2 linked regions of the Ovis aries genome follow. The protein of the gene in region 1 interacts with the protein of each later gene in a pairwise test. Links are inferred from orthologs where the notes say so. Each region holds a gene or a part of one and is shown in the gene's direction. Other genes may lie near its edges.

Region 1 (4,084 bases):
GCTCTAGGTGAATGATCACACCATCGTGATTATCTTGGTTGTGAAGATCTTTTTTGTATAGTTCTCCTGTGTATTCTTGCCACCTCTTCTTAATATCTTCTGCTTCTGTTAGGTCCATACCATTTTTACCCTTTATCGAGCCCATCTTTGGATGAAATGTTCCCTTGGTGTCTCTAATTTTCTTGAAGAGATCTCTAGTCTTTCCCATTCTGTTGTTTTCCTCTATTTCTTTGCATTGATCGTTGAAGAAGGCTTTCTTGTCTCTTCTTGCTATTCTTTGAAATTCTGCATTCAGATGCTTGTATCTTTCCTTTTTTCCTTTGCTTTTCGCTTCTCTTCTTTTCACAGCTATTTGTAAGGCCTCCCCAGACAGCCATTTTGCTTTTTTGCATTTCTTTTCCATGGGTATCGTCTTGATCCCTGTCTCCTGTACAATGTCACGAACCTCAGTCCATAGTTCATCAGGCACTCTATCTATCAGATCTAGGCCCTTAAATCTATTTCTCACTTCCACTGTATAATCATAAGGGATTTGATTTAGGTCATACCTGAATGGTGTAGCGGATTTCCCTAGTTTCTTCAATTTAAGTCTGAATTTGGCAATAAGGAGTTCATGATCTGAGCCACAGTCAGCTCCTGGTCCTGTTTTTGTTGACTGTATAGAGCTTCTCCATCTTTGGCTGCAAAGAATATAATCAATCTGATTTTGGTGTTGACCATCTGGTGATGTCCATGTGTAGAATCTTCTCTTGTGTTGTTGGAAAAAGGTGTTTGCTATGACCAGTGCATTTTCTTGGCAAAACTCTTGTTAGTCTTTGCCCTGCTTCATTCCGCATTCCAAGGCCAAATTTGCCTGTTACTCCAGGTGTTTCTTGACTTCCTACTTTTGCATTCCAGTCCCCTATAATGAAAAGGACATGTTTTTTGGGTGTTAGTTCTAAAAGGTCTTGTAGGTCTTCATAGAACGGTTCAACTTCAGCTTCTTCAGCGTTACTGGTTGGGGCATAGACTTGGATTATTTAGCACTCCTCTCCGCAAATGTCAGCTTTGGCCCTAGAGTACCTACAGGAGACTGACATGCTCCGGGTTGTACTGCGCAGCCGCGGGTTCTCTCGGAGCACGCTCCTGACGCCCCGCCCCGAATGCGAGTCCCGCATGCGCACATCGCTTTCTCTCAGACGCACCCCCGGAAGCACTGGCAGTTTTGCGGGGGGGACCGGTAAGCGTTTCCGGAGGCGGGAGGCGCAGGCTGAGGCGGTCGCGGCAGCTACGGCTTGAGCGGGCCCGGCGCCGGCTGCGGCGGAAAGTATCCCACCGGCGGGCTATGTGAGCGCCGAGCCCTTGGCAGGTATGGCAGAGTCAGGACCACGCGTAGCAAGGGGGCAGGAATGGAAACCGGAGAGGTTTGAGGGGTTCTCTCCAGGTTCCGGCGCGCTCACCGCTGACACCGTCAGGCCCATTACGCCGACCGGGATGCCGAAGCCGCACGCGGGACCGTTGGAGTCCCGGCGCTCCGGGTCCCACTTCTGCGGTCTCTGGCCAGCCCGGAGCTCGTGCAGCGACACCGAGGCCCCCGAGGCAGAGTCTCGTCCAAGGTCACCCTCCGGTGACGGACCTCGGCGGGCCAGAGCGCTTAGAGATCCCGCCACCCCCTCTTCCCCCGTCAGACCGCCCCTCCGGCCTTTCAGGGGCGCGGAGTGGGCGCGGCTTGGCGACCTCTCGTTTGAGTCAAAGCCAGGAGAAAGACTGCGCTTGGGACTTCGCTGATCCTGGTCTCTTTACCTCTGCGTTTCACCTCTCTTGCTGTCTGTCACCTGTCATCGCCTGCCCTTTATGCCTATTAACTCGGCCTCTGTCAGCTTTGTGTTTCTCTCGAGCCCAACTCCGAGTATTTGGGTCCTGTCTTCATTTCTGTTTCCACCTTCTGTGTCCCTTGACCCTGTGTTTCCCTCTTAGTCTTTACTCTGGTTGACGGCCTGCCTGTCGGTCCAGCTCTTTACTCATTCTGTGTTTCTCTGCCAGTCGTGTGTCTTTCTCTCTTGTTTCTGCCTCTCCTCAGAGGTTTCTCTGGGCGGGGCGGCCTGCCCGGACCTCTCAGCCATGGCAGGTGACTCATGACCCTGTGAAGCTTCCTACACTGGTGACATGATCAGAGGCTAGACTGCAGTCTGACCTCAGCTCTGACAGGTGTCGCCGAAACGGTCAGGGTGTAGGAGCTTCTGGAGGACAGAGAGAAGGCCATCTGCAAGCTAAATTAGCTTGATGAATCCTTACTTTTTCTTACCCATGGTTTTTCAGAACTGCCGACTCTTACTTCCCTTTGCTCCATTCACGTGCCTTCCAGGGTTCTAAGGAGCCTGCTCTCTGAGTTACCACTGCCTAACCAAGCCTGTGTACAGGCTGAGGAAGGGTCTGTCAGAGATCCTCTGCCCGTTGGGGCTCGTGGGGCAGTAGCAGGATTTCTGGGAGAGCTGTGTGCTTAGTTTGAAGATCATGTCACTATGTACAGTTAAATTGTGAGAAACCTAGTCGCTTGGGGTTCATTCTTTGCTCTACAAAAGTATTCAGTGGAGAAGTAAGCTGGACCCAAAAGAGCAAATATTGAATGAGTCCGCTTAAATGAGGTATCTGGAATAGGCAAAATCATGGAGACAGAAAGTGGAGTATAGTTTTGCCAGGGGCTGAGGGTGTTGGCAAAATCTTGGCTCTCTGTGCACCAGTGCCCAACAGAAATACAGAGTCATGGAAGAGAAGGAAAGAGTGGCTTTACTGCTTTGCCAGGCAAACGGCTAGCGCCTCAAGAGCTGTGCCCCACTCCCAGGTGAATAGAGAGAGGTTATATAGTCAGACTGGGATGTGTGATTTTTCCAGTAGTCATGTATGGATGTGAGAGTTGGACTGTGAAGAAGGCTGAGCACCGAAGAATTGATGCTTTTGAGCTGTGGTGTTGGAGAAGACTCTTGAGAGTCCCTTGGACTGCAAGGAGATCCAACCAGTCCATTCTGAAGATCAACCCTGAGATTTCTTTGGAAGGAATGGTGCTAAAGCTGAAACTGCAGTACTTTGGCCACCTTATGCGAAGAGTTGACTTTGATGCTGGGAGGGATTGGGGGCAGGAGGAGAAGGGGACGACAGAGGATGAGATGGCTGGATGGCATCACTGACTCGGTGGACGTGAGTCTGAGTGAACTCCAGGAGTTGGTGATGGACAGGGAGGCCTGGCATGCTGCGATTCATGGGGTCGCAAAGAGTCGGACATGACTGAGCGACTGAACTGAACTGGGATGTGTGATACGATTAAGGCAGTAACAGTCTTGCATTATTATGCAAAGTTTCAAAAGGGCGGGGTTGCTGACAAGATTAGGGTGTGTGCAGGGTCTTAGGTGGGCTTCCCAGGGGGCACAGTGGTAAAAAATCCACCTGCCAATGCAGGAGACTCAAGAGACTTGGGTTCAGTCCCTGGGTTGGGAAGATTCCCTTGGGGTATAAATAGCAACCCTCTCGAGTATTCTTGCCTGGAAAATCCAATGGACAGAGGAGCCTAGTGGGATCTATTCTGCAGGGTCACTGAGCACAAACACACAAGCAGGGTCTTGGGTTCATTCTCCTAATCTTGATGAGCCTCTCTGGTCCCTTTAATCTTACCTCAGGTGATTTCTTGGCTGCTCCTCCCTTAATTAGCAACTGTTCTGCCCTTTGGAACTAAGAACGTTGTGGAGGCTGGAGTCTTGCCTATGAGAAATGGAGGACAAAAAGACCTCAGTGTCCTGGAGCCCCACAGGGCCCTGCTCAACATCAAGGGGGAGGAGAGGATGGAATATTATTTAATGGATACAGGGTTTTAGTTTGGGATGATGAAAAAATTCTGCAGACAGATAATGGTGATGGTTGCACAACTGCATGAATGTGCTTAATGCCACTAATTGTAAACTTTAAATGGTCACAGTGGTAAATTTTATGTTAAGTATATTTTACCACAGTACCAAAAAAGTTGTTGAATGCAGATTCCTGAAACTAACAAGCTCTTTGAAAATGTGATTTTTAAAATTCCATTCTGTAGCTTTTAGAAACATTTAATTGAACT
Region 2 (3,604 bases), on another chromosome or scaffold:
TAGAACCTGCCCATCCAGCCTGTAATTTGGAGCTTTGCCGTTTTGGAGCATTGTGCACTGATTGGCTAAGTGAAATGAAGCTGAGGGCCTGGTGTAGTCAGAGGGTCAGAGGCTCCCAGGGCCTGATCCCAAGGCAGAGCCTCAGTTCCACATGCAGCACAGCTTGAGGGTGTTTTCCTCTCTCATGGGCCCAGTCCAGTGCCGCCGTCCTTCTTTTCCTGTGTGTCTGGCTGAGTTGAAGCCCCCTTGGTTTTCTCCTCTCACCCTGTGGGCTCCCTGCCCACTGCCTTCCAGGTGCACAAGCTTCTGATTGTGGTGGAGTTGTTGCTGGGGGAGATCCCAGACCGGCTGCAGTTCCGTCAACCATCCCTCAAGCGCTCACTCATGCCCTACTTCCTTCTGACCCAGGGTAAGGCTGGTCCCCTCCCAGGGCGTGCCGCCCCCCAGCACTGTGTCCCCTCTGGTGTATGCGCCACGGGCAGCATCTGACCCACTCCTCTCCCCACCGCAGCTGTCAGGACAGGAAACCTAGCCAAGTTCAACCAGGTCCTGGATCAGTTTGGGGAGAAGTTCCAAGCAGATGGGACCTACACCCTCATCATCCGACTGCGGCACAACGTCATCAAGACAGGTGTGGGTCGGCCTTGAGAATCTGCCTTCCAGGGTGGGGGACGCGGGTTCAGTTCCTGGTCAGGGAACAAAGGTCCCACGTGCTGCGGGGCAGCTAAGCCCACACGCTGCAGTGAGAAGCCCTTGCACTGTAACAAAGACCCAGTGCAGCCAAACTAGAAAAAAGAAAAGGTAACCTGATCACTTAAAAAAAAAAGACAAGTGTGGGTCAGGGTCTGAGGGAGCCTGGAAGCAGGACTGGGACTCTGCTTCTCTGGGGCTGGGACAGCACTGTGGCTGCCCGGGCAGGTGAAGGGTCTGTGCCCAGCCTGTCGTCCCCGCGCCCCTCCTCCCAGGTGTGCGCATGATCAGCCTCTCCTATTCCCGCATCTCCTTGGCGGACATCGCCCAGAAGCTGCAGCTTGATAGCCCAGAGGATGCAGAGTTCATTGTCGCCAAGGTGGGCCTGGTTCGGGGGCCGCAGACGCTGTTTCAGGCGCGGGGTGGGAGGGGATTGACGGCTAAAGCGGCGGCATGCCCAGCTTACAGTGAAGCCAGGAAGTTGCCAGAGTGTCTGTGTGAATGAATGTAGGAGAGATCAGCGAGGACAAAGAGATGAGACGGGATGTTCTCAGACTTAGAAGATGGACTTTCTGGTGACTTCTCCTCCCTTTGGGGCCTGCAGGCCATTCGAGATGGCGTCATTGAGGCCAGCATCAACCACGAGAAGGGCTACGTCCAGTCCAAGGAGATGATTGACATCTATTCCACCCGCGAGCCCCAGTTGGCCTTCCACCAGCGCATTTCCTTCTGCCTGGATATTCACAACATGTCTGTCAAGGTGAGGGGCCCTGAGCTGCAGAGCCAGCTGGGCAGCACGCTGCCACACCCACAGGCTCCTAGCGAAGACCGGTTTGGTTTGGGGCCCGGCTCCCAGTCTCTAAAGCACTGGGGGTCCAGGAGGGGCAAAGGACTTGGCTTGTGGGACCACAATGCCTCTGTGCACTTAAAGGGTCTGGTTGCCAGGGAGGATGAGACTGGGGTTTAGAGTGCGCGGTTCTGGATTTGGTTCCAAATTTGAGTCGTTTACCTTCTGTGAAGTCTCCATGTCTCCATCTGTGAGACTGATAGGGAGGTATTACCTGCCCTGCCTGCTTCACAGAGTTGTCGAGATTGGATGAAATCACTGTCTTGGGGCACTTAGCTAAGTTTGAATTGTGTAAAGGGTGGGACCACCATCTTGGTCCACAAAAGGCTCCTAAGCCCTTGTGGGTCAGGTGCTGGTACTGTCGGACACTGTTTTTCCTGGTCTCTCCCCCCAGGAAACCAGGCATATCACTTTGTCTGAAATCAGGCAAACGCTGTGCATGAAAGACCCTTTGTGACTGGTCCCCTGTGTCTCTAGCCTCACTCCCCAGGACCGCTCCCGTCAGCCCCTCCCCCCCTTCTCCCCTCCTCCCAGCTGGCCCCACTGAGCTCCAGCCTAACCTCTCACACCTTGAATGTCTGCCTAGAATGCCCTTCCTTCCGCTTCCATAGGCCATCCATTCTTCCTCCTTCTCACTGTCAGTCCGCCTCCCTGCCTGACTGAGAGGGTTGGTCGTTTATCCCTCTGGATTTTCTTTTTAGTGTTTATCATGTGGTGTCACGGGTCATTAGTCACCATGCCCCAGCAGACTAAACTGAGGAGTGTCACCTGTCCGGTGCATTTCCTAGCGCCCAGGTGCCTGCCTCCTCTTCACTCACTCCTCTCTCCATTGTGCTTCAGGCCATGAGGTTTCCTCCCAAATCCTACAACAAGGACTTGGAGTCTGCAGAGGTAAGCTGCTTTCTGCTTTGGGTGGAAGGGGAAGTTTCTGGAAAGCCTGGGTGGGTCGGGCTGGGTGCAGACCAAGTGAGTGCCTGGCTGGTCCTCAGCAGCCTGGGTGGGTCGGACTGGGTGCAGACCACGAGCCCCAGGCTGGTCCTCAGCCCCCCCGCCCCCTGGTCCTCTTCCCCAGGAGCGGCGAGAGCGGGAGCAGCAGGACTTGGAGTTTGCCAAGGAGATGGCAGAAGATGACGACGACAGCTTCCCTTGAGCTGGGGGGCTGGGGAGGGGTGGGGTGAGTGGGGACTGGCTCTGTCTTTCCCCCATGGGGGTCCCCTGCCCAGGGAACTGGCTCCTCTTCCCACATGGGGCACACAGACTGCTATGTGCAGGGGGTGAGGGGTGCAGGGAGCCGGTCACCCTACCTCATCCCAGGGCCCCTCCTCAGCCGGTGACTTAGCACACGGGGGCAGGCGGGCGGGCGGGCAGCCTCCCCAGGGCAGGGTCCTGGCTAGTGGTGTGGGCAGCACGATGGGAAGGACTAGCCCTGTGCCCTCCTCCAGGGAGTAGGGCACCGGAACTGGGACATGTGTTAGGCTGTATGTTTTTTGAAGCTTCAATTATGATTTTTAAACAATAAAAAGTTCTCCAAAGCTCCTTATGTATCAGTTACTCTATTTTGCCCTCACAGGTACAGTGTTAACAGGCCCAGATTTTTCTCCTGGCCTGGGAGTGCCAGCCCCAGGCATGATCTGAGGACCTGATGCAGCTGTAGATGAGGAGGCGGCCAGGGGCTGGGTGAAGAGATTCTGATCTGGGGTCAGAAGGGCCTGGGTTTACTCTTTCGCATCTAACTGGCTCTCAAATAATTGGGCAACTCTCTAAACCTCTCAGGCTCCTTTGCCAGATCTGTCAAATAAATGATTATACTCAGTGATCTCCTGGCTCTAAAATGAGGAATCTAGGCTTCCAATGAATCAAACAAAATGTGAGAGTCTGGCCCTCAGGTGAGATTGAGTGAGGAGAGAAGGGTCTCCAGCAAGGCTGCACCATGTTGGGAGCAGGGTCCTGCCCAGCTGGCCCTTGAGAGGGGAGGATGGGCTCCTCCCTAAGGGCAGGGAGGAGTGGTCGGGCACAAGGGGGCTCCCTGTGGCCCCCAGCCCACCTGCTCCAGCAGCATATGGTGAG

Evidence for each region. The genes of interacting proteins can lie anywhere in the genome.
Region 2: the proteins of ZBTB43 (region 1) and PSMD3 interact in binary tests that used the Homo sapiens proteins (3 or more experiments, as listed by UniProt). The two-hybrid records come from large-scale screens. The link is inferred for Ovis aries from reciprocal best matches to the Homo sapiens genes ZBTB43 and PSMD3.

What each region holds. Positions count from the first base shown.
Region 1 is NC_056056.1:9,310,317-9,314,400, reverse strand, and holds the start of ZBTB43 (zinc finger and BTB domain-containing protein 43), read left to right. Parts: upstream 1-1,228; 5' UTR 1,229-1,348; intron 1,349-4,084. UniProt on the Homo sapiens protein: May be involved in transcriptional regulation.
Region 2 is NC_056064.1:40,071,224-40,074,827, forward strand, and holds the end of PSMD3 (26S proteasome non-ATPase regulatory subunit 3), read left to right. Parts: intron 1-294; coding exon 295-409; intron 410-511; coding exon 512-631; intron 632-965; coding exon 966-1,069; intron 1,070-1,294; coding exon 1,295-1,450; intron 1,451-2,377; coding exon 2,378-2,668; coding exon of another isoform or gene 2,669-2,687; 3' UTR 2,688-3,073; downstream 3,074-3,604.